Oryctolagus cuniculus: one gene and its partner. The protein of the gene in region 1 interacts with the protein of each later gene in a pairwise test. Links are inferred from orthologs where the notes say so. Each region holds a gene or a part of one and is shown on either strand. Other genes may lie near its edges.

The links.
Region 2: the proteins of SSC5D (region 1) and SEC23IP interact in binary tests that used the Homo sapiens proteins (3 or more experiments, as listed by UniProt). The two-hybrid records come from large-scale screens. The link is inferred for Oryctolagus cuniculus from reciprocal best matches to the Homo sapiens genes SSC5D and SEC23IP.

The regions. Positions count from the first base shown.
Region 1 is NC_091449.1:3,474,489-3,480,484, reverse strand, and holds the start of SSC5D (soluble scavenger receptor cysteine-rich domain-containing protein SSC5D), read left to right. Parts: upstream 1-2,419; 5' UTR 2,420-2,947; coding exon 2,948-3,200; intron 3,201-3,663; coding exon 3,664-3,690; intron 3,691-3,917; coding exon 3,918-4,226; intron 4,227-4,423; coding exon 4,424-4,537; intron 4,538-4,731; coding exon 4,732-4,833; intron 4,834-5,148; coding exon 5,149-5,457; intron 5,458-5,996. Other genes in the region: NAT14 (probable N-acetyltransferase 14), read left to right, coding at 873-944, 1,246-1,794.
Region 2 is NC_091446.1:10,801,944-10,807,923, forward strand, and holds the start of SEC23IP (SEC23-interacting protein), read right to left. Parts: upstream 4,106-5,980; 5' UTR 4,023-4,105; coding exon 3,860-4,022; intron 1-3,859. UniProt on the Homo sapiens protein: Plays a role in the organization of endoplasmic reticulum exit sites. Specifically binds to phosphatidylinositol 3-phosphate (PI(3)P), phosphatidylinositol 4-phosphate (PI(4)P) and phosphatidylinositol 5-phosphate (PI(5)P).

The DNA.
Region 1 (5,996 bases):
GAGGGGGACAGCGCCCGGGCTGTGGCCCCGCCTGGGAGCCCGGAGCCGGGACTTGCTTCATGTCCTGGGGCGGGGCACGAGCTCAGCTTCCCTGGCCTTGGGGGGGGGACCCGAACCCCGGTTCTGCCGCTGGTTCGCTGCCAGGCACCCCCCGCCTCCCCCCTGAAGAGGGGGGAAGAGACCCTCGCCCCTCAGAGCCCTGCAAGCCGGGGCTGGGGTGCGGGTCCCCGGGGACCGGAGCTTGGGCGCAGCCCCTCCCGCGAGGGCCCGCGCGCCAATGGGAGCCCGCGCGCTGCCGTCACTGCCCTCCCGCGCCCGTTGCCCGGCGACGCGGGGACGTCGCGCAGGGGCGCGCGCCCACTCCTGCCCGCCGCGGCCGCGGCCCTCTCCCCGGGGCTCGGCGAGGTCACGTGGCAGAGTCACGGCTCGCAGCCTCGGGCCCCATCGGGAGGCCTGGCTGCGGTGGCCGAGGCCGGGAGCCCGCGCCCCCGCCCGCCCCGTTCGGCTCTGACGCCACTTCCGCCGGCGACCCCTGCCCGACCCCGCTCCCCCACACCTCGTGTAAGGTGCTCGCGGGTCCTCCTGCGACGCGAGGGGGCGGGAGACGCCTGCAGGGGCGGGGGTGGGGGCCCTCACGGCGGCCCCTGCGTCGGGGAAGGGTCAGGCGCTGCGCAGTGCTGGGGCCCACGGCCGAGCAGCACGGGGCGCGGGAGTCCCGGGGAACATTCGGGGGCGCCGCGGGCCTGAGTGCCCCGGGAAGCGCTGCTGTCCCCCGCACCCCGGCGGGCGGCCACCTGACGCTGATCTGCTTGTGTCCTCGGCAGGTGCACGACGCCAGCTCCCCGCCCGGGGGCGGGCGCCTGGGGGCCGCCATGGCCCCCAGCCACCTGTCCGTGCGGGAGATGAGGGAGGATGAGAGGCCCCTGGTGCTGGAGATGTTAAAGGTGAGCCCGGGGGCGGGGGCCGGGGTTCGCTGGGAGTGGGCTCAGCCGCCCCGAGCGAGTGTCCTCCGAGGCTGCCTCTTCCCTGGGTCCCCCTGGCTCCCGGCTGCCCTCTACCCTTTGCCAGGGGCTGGCAGCAGCTGGCTGCTGGAGGGCGCAGGCTCTGACGGGCAGGGCCACGGACCTGGATGCCCCCGCCCCCAGCTTCTCACCCATGCAGCCCCCACACCGCCTTCCGCTCCCACCTGGGGCCCCTCCCCCGCCACACACAGTGTGATGGACAGCCGAGGACCCCTCTCCACAGGCCGGCGTCAAGGACACGGAGAACCGGGTGGCCCTCCACGTGCTGACGCGGCCCCCGGCCCTGCTCCTCCTGGCCGCGGCCAGCAGCGGCCTGCGCTTGGTCCTGGCCTCCTTCGCCCTGGCCCTCCTGCTGCCGGTGTTCCTGGCCGTGGCTGCCCTGAAGCTGGGCCTGCGAGCCCGCTGGGGCTCGCTGCCTCCCCCGGGCGGCCTGGGGGGGCCCTGGGTGGCCGTGCGCGGCTCCGGCGACGTGTGCGGGGTCCTGGCCCTGGCCCCCGGCACCAGTGCAGGGGACGGAGCCCGCGTCACCCGCCTTTCTGTCTCCCGCTGGCACCGGCGCCAAGGCGTGGGCAGAAGGCTGCTGGCATTCGCCGAGTCCCGGGCTCGGGCCTGGGCTGGGGGTATGGGGGAGACGCGCGCCCGGCTGGTCGTCCCCGTGGCCGTGGCCGCCTGGGGCGTGGCCAGCATGCTAGAGGGCTGCGGCTACCAGGCAGAGGGTGGCTGGGGCTGCATGGGCTACGCGCTCGTGAGGGACTTCTGCAAGGACCTGTGACCCCCACCCCTGAGTGTCCCCGTGGCCACCGGGAGGATGGGGCGGGGCTGGAAGGTGGCGCCCGCTGCATGCCCGGTGCCCCGTGCGTGACTCCCCAGCACACCTGGGGCTCGGCCGCCGGTCTGTCCGCGTGGTGTCTGGGGGGGTCTGCACTTCTCAGGAATCCCTCTTCCCTCGTGGCTCCTGGGCCACCAGAGGTCACGGACCCACCCCCGCCCCCAGCCCAGGGGCACCTGTGTCCCCAGCCTGCCCCGCCCTCCAGGAAGGGACACCTAGCGGAGTTGGGAGCTGCACAGGACACGGCCAGAGGGGACAGGGCCTCCCGGGGAGAGGGGTGGGGGACACGAGGTGCTGTGGGCAGCGGGCACCCGGCCGCGGCTGGGGAGCTGCGAGGGGCCGCGGCTCTTCCTCCGGACCCAGCCATCTGGTTTCCTACACTGTTTGTTAATAAAGCCCGAAGTGGCCTCCTCTCTCTGATGCCTTTTCCAGTCTGTCTCTGGACCCCCGCCTCCGCCCCCCCCCCCCAGCTTCTGTCTGGCTCCTCCTTCCCCCGAGTTGACATTAATTGTGGGTGTCTGGGGGGAGCGGGGAGGCGGTGAGCTCACAGCAGCCCCGGTCCCTGCCAGTCTCTGAGTCACGCTCCCCATGACTGCATTTTTTCCAGCTCACAGCTGCCTGGTGCAGGGGACGTGTGTGTGTGTGTGTGAGTGTGAGTGTGAGTGCGAGGAGTCTGCGGAGCCCCCTTCCCGCCCCCTCCCCACTCCGGTTCAACGCCTCCGGCCTCAGATGGCCGTCTGAGGGGGTTCACGTTCAATCCCGCCGATGAGGAATGAGGGAGGGAATGGACGGAGCAGTTTTCCATTCTGCTCCCTCTAATCCAGGAAGTCCCTCCTGGTGTCTGGCTACAGGCCCTCTTGCTACCGCTCCCGGAGTCCCAGATCTGCCTGGCCCCTGACCCCAGCAGGGGTCAGAGCCCACTCCCCAGAAGGTCAAGGGAGGAGGCAGGAGAGTGGGTGCCCCGCCCGCGCCCCACGCGTGCACCCGCCTTGCCCCTGCCCGGCAGCCTGCCGTCCCTCGGCTTGGGCCTGCCTGGCCGTCTGCGTGTGGGTGTTAGCCGTTCACCCTCCCCCCGCCCGCCACCCCCCTCCTCCCCATGCCGGAGCCGCTCGCCAGCCCCCTCCCGCCCTCCGGTCCCCTGCCGCCTCCCTGCAGCCTCTCTTCCTCCTGGTGGAGCCTTGGGCCCCTGCCTGCTCCTCCGCGGGTCCGGGCGCCTCCGGCCGGCGCTCCCTCCCTCGCCTCCGCCCTCGCTTGGCTGCCGCCTGCTCCCCTCTCCTGCCCTCCTTCCCCTGTCGCCCCATCCCCTCCCCCGGACTCTGCAAACATGAGGGTCCTGGCCTGCCTCCTCGGTGAGTGACCCTTCCCCTGGGGACTCAGGGGATCCGGGCCCCCACCTCTGACCCCTTAGCACGTCCAGTTTAGGGACTGGGGCTTCCGGGAACCCAGTCCTTGGTGCCTCCAGATAGCCTGGCCACTGGCTGCCCTGCCCGGCCCCTCGGGGACTCAGCCTCCTGAGAACAGAAGGGGCCTGGCCCAAGCCCTGGTCCTGTGGAGGTCACGGGCCATCTGACCTTTGGCCAAGCAGAGCCCCAGGTGCCCAGCCCTGGCCCCAGGCCAGGCGTCCGAGCCCCACCCGTCTCAGGCTTGGTGGCCCTCTGCCCGGGCTCTGGCTCCCAGCTCCCAGCGTGGGTTTCTGGGTCAGAGGCGTGGCTGCTCCGAGAGTGAGTGTGCGTGTGTGTGTGTTTCGGGGTATTCGGGATGAGGCGGGACCCCCGGGGCCTGCCTCTCACGCTGTCCCCCAACCTCTTGCAGTGGTGCTGCTTGGGGTTCGGGCCATTGGTAAGTCCCAGACACTCTCCCCGCAGCTCCACGCCTCCCCGGGTCCAGGCCTGGCCTCCCGCTCCTGCTGGGGGTACCCCCGTTCCACCATGACCAGCACCACTGGGCACCCCAAAGTCTGGCCCCGGCCCCCCGACTGCACCCCACAGGACAGCCTGCACCCCCTACCATCACTCTGACCCCAGACCTCAGGGATGGTCACAGCCTCTCCTCTGCCCCCCAACCAGAGCGGCTGCGCCTGGCCGACGGCCCCCACGGCTGCGCCGGCCGCCTGGAGGTCCGGCACAGCGGGCGCTGGGGCACGGTGTGTGACGACGGGTGGGACCTGCGCGACGCCGCCGTGGCCTGCCGGGAGCTGGGCTGCGGGGGGGCGCTGGCTGCCCCCGGGGGCGCCTTCTTCGGGGAGGGCGCAGGCCCCGTGTGGCTCAGCGAGCTGGCCTGCCGCGGCGGCGAGGGGCACCTGGGCCTCTGCCCCCACCGCGGCTGGAAGGCCCACATCTGCAGCCACGAGGAGGACGCGGGCCTCGTCTGTGCAGGTGAGCGAGCAACCGCCGGAGGCTCCCAGCCCCCGGTCCCCTCCAGAGCCAGGTCTCGCCCTCCATCTGGGACCCCCAACTTAAACCGCTCCTGAGCCCCAGACCCCCCACCCCGTATTTCAGCCCCTGCCCATCTCCCTGGGGACCCCCATGAGCCCTCCGCCCCGGCCACCCTCCTCTCAACCTCTCTCCTGCAGGTCAGCGCGTGGCCGATTCAAGGGACGAATCACCTCCCGCCCCGGACGGGGACCCCTGGCTGGGGCTGCCTGGGGAGCTGAGCCCCAGCTCCGAGGAGCCCCCTGTGACTCATGGTGCGCCCGGAGGACCCCCACCCCGGCTCCACCTCCTGCTTCAGCTGTGGGGGAGGGGACGCACAGGTCCCCAGGCTGGCTCTCCTGGCCCAGGGCGTCCTCTGGCACTGTGGCCCTTGAGAGGGGGCTCCTGGTCCTGTGTGGGGGGACGGGCGGCAGCCCTGCCCCTGACCTCCTGCTGTCTCCCCTCCCAGCCCCCCGCCTGGCCGGAAGCCCCCGGAAGAAGAGCCCCCGGCCACCCAAGCAGGTCAAGTCCACCAGGGCCCCTTTGCTGACGGCTGGGGCCCCCCGACAAGGTGGGTGCCCTGCAGACATGACCTGCACACTGTGAGAGCCCAGGCCCACCGCGCGGGGCCCCGCCTCGGAGCCGCCCCTCCCTGGGACTCAGGGGCCAGCCTGGTCTCCCCTCTTCTTGCCGTCCCTGACGCCTGCCCCATCAGGGATCCTGCCTCAAAGATGGTGGCTATTTCCCCCGAAGGGGCCGGGGGGAAGGCGGACCTCAGACCAGTGCCCGCTCCGGGCCTCGGTTTCCCAGGAGGGGGCTGACTGCTTCTCCTGAGCTGTGGTCAGACCCCTCACGGCCCCTCCCTCCCACCCGTGCCCCCCTCCAGAGCGGCTGCGCCTGGTCTCAGGCCCCCACAGCTGCGCCGGCCGCCTGGAGGTGTTGCATGGCGGGCGCTGGGGCACCGTGTGTGACGACGGGTGGGACCTGCGCGACGCCGCCGTGGCCTGCCGGGAGCTGGGCTGCGGGGCCGCGCTGGCCGCCCCCGGGGGCGCCAGGTTCGGGCCGGGCGCGGGGCCCGTGTGGATGGACGACGTGGGGTGTGGAGGAGGAGAGCAGACCCTACGGGACTGTCCCCGGAGCCCCTGGGGCCGGAGCAACTGTGACCACAGTGAGGACGCCGGGCTGGTGTGCACGGGTAGGTGAGGCTGGCCCCTCCCCCACCTGCAGTCAGGGCCCCCGGGGAAAGGTGCTGGGGCCGGCCACAGTGAGGACGCCGGGCTGGTGTGCACGGGTAGGTGAGGCTGCCCCTCCCCCACCTGCAGTCAGGGCCCCCGGGGAAAGGTGCTGGGGCCGGAGCCGGGGCTCCGCTGCAGGGCCAGGGCTCTGCCAGGGCCAGGGCTCTGCCAGCGTTCCGGATGGAGCCGTAAGGCTAGGAGTGCCCTCCTCAGGGGTTCCCCCAGGGCGAGGAGGCAGGGAGCTGAGGCGGAGGGGGAGGAGTGACCTGGGGGCCGTGATGCCGGAGCAGGGCTCTGCTTCCTGCCGGGGGCTCCTGCCCTCCCTGTTCCTCTGGGACCTGGGATGGGGCCTCCCAGGAGAGCCCCGGGGTGCACCTGCCTGCCCTCCCCCCTTCCCTTCCCATTCCTCCTTCCTTCCACATACGTCCTGCACCGGAAGCCCAGGCAGGCCTCCTGCTCCTGGGCTCCTTAGGCTGCAGGAGCCGCGAGGCTGGCCGAC
Region 2 (5,980 bases), on another chromosome or scaffold:
AGGGCTCAGCCTGGGAACCAAAACGGAATGGAAACTGCCCTGGCGGCTGACACAGCTGACCAGCTGGCCTCCGGTGAGTCTCTACAATTTCATAGCCTAAAATTCTCTCACATCTGCACCCTGCTCTTCATACGCAGCATGGCTGGCTTAGACTGCAGTGCCCAGCCCTCACGATGGTCTCCAGACTGCCCACTCTCGCCACAGTCAGCCTGTTCCAGCGTAATCTATGCAAACTCTAGTCTTGGGGTGGGTACTGCGGCACAGCAAGTTAAGTCAGAGCTTGGGATGCCCGTATCCCATTTGGAAGCACCTCTGCTTCCAAGGCAACTTCCTGCTTGTGCACCTGGGACCCAGTAAATGACAACCCAAGTCTCTGGATGCCTGCCACCCACATAGAGACCCAGATGGAGTTCCTGGCTCCTGGCTTCAGCCTGGCCCAACCCCGGATGCTGTGGGCATTTGGGGAGAGAACAAATGGATAGGAGTTTTCTGTGTGTGTGTGAATCTCCCTCTCTGTCACTCTACCTTTCAAATAAATAAATCTTTTTTTTAAAGATTTTATTTATTTATTTGAGAGGTAGAGTGACAGAGAGACAGAGAGACAGACAGAAAGGTCTTCTATCTGCTAGTTCATTTCCCAAATGGTTGCAACGGCCAGAGCTGGGCCAATCCTAAGCCAGCAGCTTCTCCCGGGTCTCCAACACAGTGAAGGGGCCCAAGCACTTGGGCCATCTTCTACTGCTTTCCCAGGCCATAGCAGAGAGCTGGATCACAAGAGGAGCAGCTGGGATACAAACCAGCACCCATATGGCATGCCAGCGCCATAGGCAGAGGCTTAGCCCACTATACCACAGTGCCGGCCCCCTCAAATACATAAAGCTTTACACACACACACTTTTTTGAAAACTCTGGTCTTTCTGAAACACCTGATTTCACTATCCCACGCCCCACAGGATGCACTACAAAGTCCCTGGAATGGTGTATGAGGGCCACAGATTACCGCGGCCTCTCCTCCACACACTGTCACAGTGGGCAGGGACACACAACAGGACAGAGGGGAGAGGCCCATCCTGCCTCACACCTCCCACCACCAACTCTTGCCAAGTCTGCGGGTTTTCTCACACCTCCAGCCTCACTCACATCTACGTATCATTTTTGTTGTTCTTAAAGATGTATTCGTTAATTTTGAAAATCAGAGTTACAGAGATGGAGAGCCGGAAAGAGATCGTCCACCCACTGGTTCACTCCCCAGATGGCCCCAGCAGCCAGCGCTGGGCAAGGCCGGTGCCAGGAGCTTCATCTCAGTCACGTAAGTGCCTGGCAGAGCCCAAGCACTTGAGTCGTCTCCCTCCGCTTTCCCAGGCCTTAGCAGGGAGCTGGACGGGAAGCGGAGCAGCCCATACTGGATGCCAGGGCTGCAGCGGCAGCTTTACCCACTGTGCCACAATGCCAGCCCTCGATGTCTCTTTCAACTCAAGCATCGCCTCCTCTCCAAGGCCCTGAGGGCCTAAAGGACATCCTCTCCCTGACCAGCAGCCTGAGCCACGTCGCAAGCACAGCAGTGTACTATTCCTCTCCCTCGCTGTGCTAACAGGGAGGCTGACACGGTGGGCATCCGTGTACCAGCCACACTGTGCGGCTGCTGCAGGCAGGCCTCGGTGCGTCCTGACATGCGGGAGAGTGCCTGGCAAGCAGAAGCTGCTAAATCCACGTTTCCTGAATGTATGAAACCACTTCCTGTGCATCTCCCACTGGCATGATCAATGGGCGCTACCAAAAATCTGGCTCTTTTTGTCTCTGGAGATTCGCTGAATGGATTTCGAACTATGAGACGTTTTCACAGATGGAAAAAACACTTGCTACAGAATTTTACTTCTAAAACTATTAATGTGTGTTCTCGCAAAAATAAATAAACTCTAACAATTGCAAAGACAAGTCTATTTTCTGATGCCTAATGAAAATGTTTAGTATTGGGCTGGCGCCGCGGCTGACTTGGTTAAGCCTCCACCTGTGGGGCCGGCAAGGTTCCAGTCCTGGCCGCTCCTCTTCCAGGCCAGCTCTCTGCTGTGGCCCGGGAGGGCAGTGGAGGATGGCTCAGGTGCTTGGGCCCTACACCTGCATGGGAGGCCAGGAAGAAGCACCTGGCTCCTGGCTTCAGATCGGCGCAGCGCCGGCCATAACGGCCATTTGGGGAGGGAACCAATGGAAGGAAGACCCCCCCCAACTGTCTAACTCTGCCTGTCAAAAAAAAAAAAAAGAAAGAAAAAGAAAAAGTTTAGTATTAATTGATAGTGACTCACACAAACCAAATATTCTATAGCAAGGAAGACAGACAAGAGCCAAACCCCGTTTGTGAAGCAGAAGCTAACATAACACCCCAGGAGTGGCCTTGTTCATTCCTGCTCCTCCCAGAGTGCCCTGCTCCAGCCACGCCGTTCCTTCACCAAAGACGCGATCGAGCTGCCTAAATAAGACGAAGACGAGCATTCCTGCTGCCCGCTCTCCTCCTCACTCAACAAATACCTACTAAATATCAATCGGTCTACTGCATCCCAGCCCCTGGGGACAGACCAGTGACCAACACTCCTGGCTTTCACCCAGCTCAGATTCCAATAGCGAAGCATCACCAACTGTGTACAGCACCAGAGAGAAACAGGACACGAGCGAAGGGGAACCTTCACGGGCAGCTCTTCGCAGGAAGCCTTTCTGCACTTCTCTGTGAAAACTCTTCTTAGTCCTCCAAGCAAGAACAAATTATTCAACAGGAAAAAAGTCAGCATAGGGCTGGCACTGTGGCGCAGCGGGTTAGGCTGCCACCCACCACGCCAGCATGCCTTATGGGTGCTAGTTCAAGTCCTGGCTGCTGCACTTCCAATCCAGGTCCCTGCTAATGTGCCTGGGAGGCAGCAGACCATGGCCCAAGTACCTGGGTCCCTGCCAACAATGTGGGAGACCTGAAGAAGCTCCTGGCTCCCACCTCGCCTCAGCCATCGTGGCCACTTGGGGAGTGAACCAGCAGATGGAAGATCCATCTCCCCCGCCCCTCTGTGTGTGTGTGTGTGTGTGTGTGTGTGTCTATCTGTCTCTTCCTCTGACTTTTAAATAGATAAATAAACTCTATAAAAGCCAGCATATAATGAGGATCTACATGCAAGGCACTCAACAAGATCCTGAAAATAAAACTGTTAACGGCCATAGCTGCAAGCTTCAACCTCATAGTCCCACTGGACAGGCAGACATGTTCATTCCACGAACACTGAACACTTTGTGCCAGGCGCTATACTGGGTGCACTAACTTCTCAGGACAATCCCCTGAGACTGCTCATGGCCGGAAACTGAGGCACCCAGAGGAGAAGCAGCAAGGCCTGGGGACACACAGCACGTCACTGGCAGGGCCATACAGTCCGTGCCCCTAAGCACCTCGGTCCGGGTTATGCCACCGAATCCTCAGAAAGCAATCTCCCTGGTCAATACACAGGCTCGAACCAGGAGCTAGGGAGCTAGGGCGCACACAGGAGTGGGGGCCGCACTGTCGTGAAGAATAAAGACTGCACTCTTACCTGCACTTTACAGGTACTACATGGCTACCCTGTCCGCCCCGGGAGATGCCCTGCCCTGCCGTATCCCAGGGGTCTCCTAGTGGGACTCAGGGACACAGCGTTCCCTCGACGAAGAGCAAGCCCCGGGACCCGGCGCGCGCCCCCCAGACCCCCTAAGCTCCGGGTCCGCTCGAACGTGCCCCCTGCGGGCCCTGGCAAGCCGCCAGAAGGCGCACCTCCCGAGGGAGCCTCGTCGCCCCACGACCCCCGCCCGCCTCCCTGCACACTCTCGCGGCGCGGGACCGCCCGCCCCTGACTACCTCCCGGCAGGAGCAGCGAGGCCGGGGTAGCGGCGGCCTGGGTGACCGGGATGAAGGGCACGTTGAAGCTGAACTCTGTGGCCGAGGACGAGAAGAGTAAGTTAGTGCCCGACGAGGAGGCAGACGCGCCCCCGCCGCCACCGTTAGGCTTCCTCTCGGCCATGGCTGCGGCCCACCGTCCGTTACACGTCTCCCGGTAGCCGGGGCAGCGCCACCGGCCGGAAACCAGTCACCCTCGGGCCAGCGCACTTCCGCACTTGCGCCCAGGGACCGGAAGTAGCGGCTCCCTCCCTTCCCCTAGCTCGCGTCGCCAGGAAATAACAAGGCGGCGCCGGCGTCACGCCAGGGCTTAGCACGTGACCCCTGTCGCGGCTGCGCGAGCGAGGCTGGAGGCGGAGGGACTGGGAGAGGGGACGGTGGCCGCTGCCCGTCCTGGGTGTGTGCGCGAATGGACGCTGAAAGCCGCCGATTGCGAGGGGCGCTCCGGGCTTCCTAAAACTGTCGGAGAGATGGCTGAATGGACAGATTTGGGGAGGCCAGGGGAAGCGAGGACGAGCGGCCGCTCTCGCAGATTCGTGCCTTTCGGGACTGACCCTTGCCCCGTGGCCCAGGAGCAGAGCTGGCAAAACTTGAGACATGCTTAAGCCGTCGTTCAAAAGGGAAGCCAGGGGCTTGAGGTTGCAGGCGTGTGCCTTTAAAACAGGAGCTTTTTCTGTCCACAGTAGCCTAGTCCGAGCCGTAGTTGTCCGCTTTCACAGCTAGAGATTACAGAGGGGAAAATACAGAAATGGCCAAGCAGCGTCCTGGAGACTCCCAGAGAGGCCTCAAAGTAGCGAGCCAGGCCGCGGGTGCTGACACCCATGTGGGGTGTCAGCTTATTAAATCAGTTGACGACCCGATTTGCCTGCTGTCAAAGAGTTTTTTAAAAGCCAGAGTCTAGTTACAATGGTAAGACATTATATTAAGTAATTACCTTTTTTTTTTTTTTTTTGGACAGGCAGAGTGGATAGAGTCAGAGACAGAGAGAAAGCTGTTCCTTTGCCGTTGGTTCACCCTCCAATGGCCGCCACGGCTGGCGCGCTGCGGCCGGCGCACCACGCTGATCCGAAGCCAGGAGCCAGGTGCTTCTCCTGGTCTCCCATGGGGTGCAGGGCCCAAGCACTTGGGCCATCCTCCACTGCCCTCCCTGGCCACAGCTGAGAGCTGGCCTGGAAGAGGGGCAACCGGGACAGAATCTGGCGCCCCAACCGGGACTGGAACCCAGTGTGCCGGCGCTGCTAGGTGGAGGATTAGCCTAGTGAGCCACAGCGCCGGCCCAGTAATTACCTATTGCAATAGGAAGGTGGCCCGACAAGAACTGGACTCAGCTTTGCTCAAACAAAAAGATTTATTTACTTTTTTATTTATTTGAAAGGCAGAATGACAGACCATCCTCAAAGGGCAGCAACGGTCGGGGCTGGGCCCATCTGAGGCCAAGAATTCCACCCTGGTCTCCGACCTGGGTGGCAGGAACAACCCAAGAGGAGGGGTCATTTGTAGCCTCCCGGGCACATTAGCTGAGAGCTGGGTGGGAAGCAGAACAGCCAGTGTTGTGTCCGGTTTGAGACCCTCCCCAAAACAACTCACAAAAGGCAGACGTAGGCCAGTGCTGAGGCAAGAAGCCTGGTCCCTCACCTTCCCAGCATTTTTACCCACTCAAGTAAACAAGTACATATGTCACTACACACCTAGGCGAGTTCCTTATTCCTTATATGGCAGTTACCTAAATTTATGCATTTTATTGGTGCATTTGAGCAACTTAAGGGCTAGGCGGAAGAATCTAAATTCCAGGAATAGCTTCATTCCCGTACCCTTAGGCCTGTCTTTTCTGGCTTAAAATAAAGCCTGTCATGGAGGAATGGCGGGTCTTGCGACAGGAAGGTCCTGAAAGCTCTTAAGACCAAGATTTTAATATGTTGCCCCATATTTTATATCATTTAATCTTAACATACTACATATTATTAAGTCTTAATTTCAAATGTATTTAAACTAACTTACGGTTTGAATTAATTACTCATAACTGAACTCTACACCAGGATTCAAACAGGCTTGTTCTGAGTTGGAGACTTTTCCAAGGCTGAG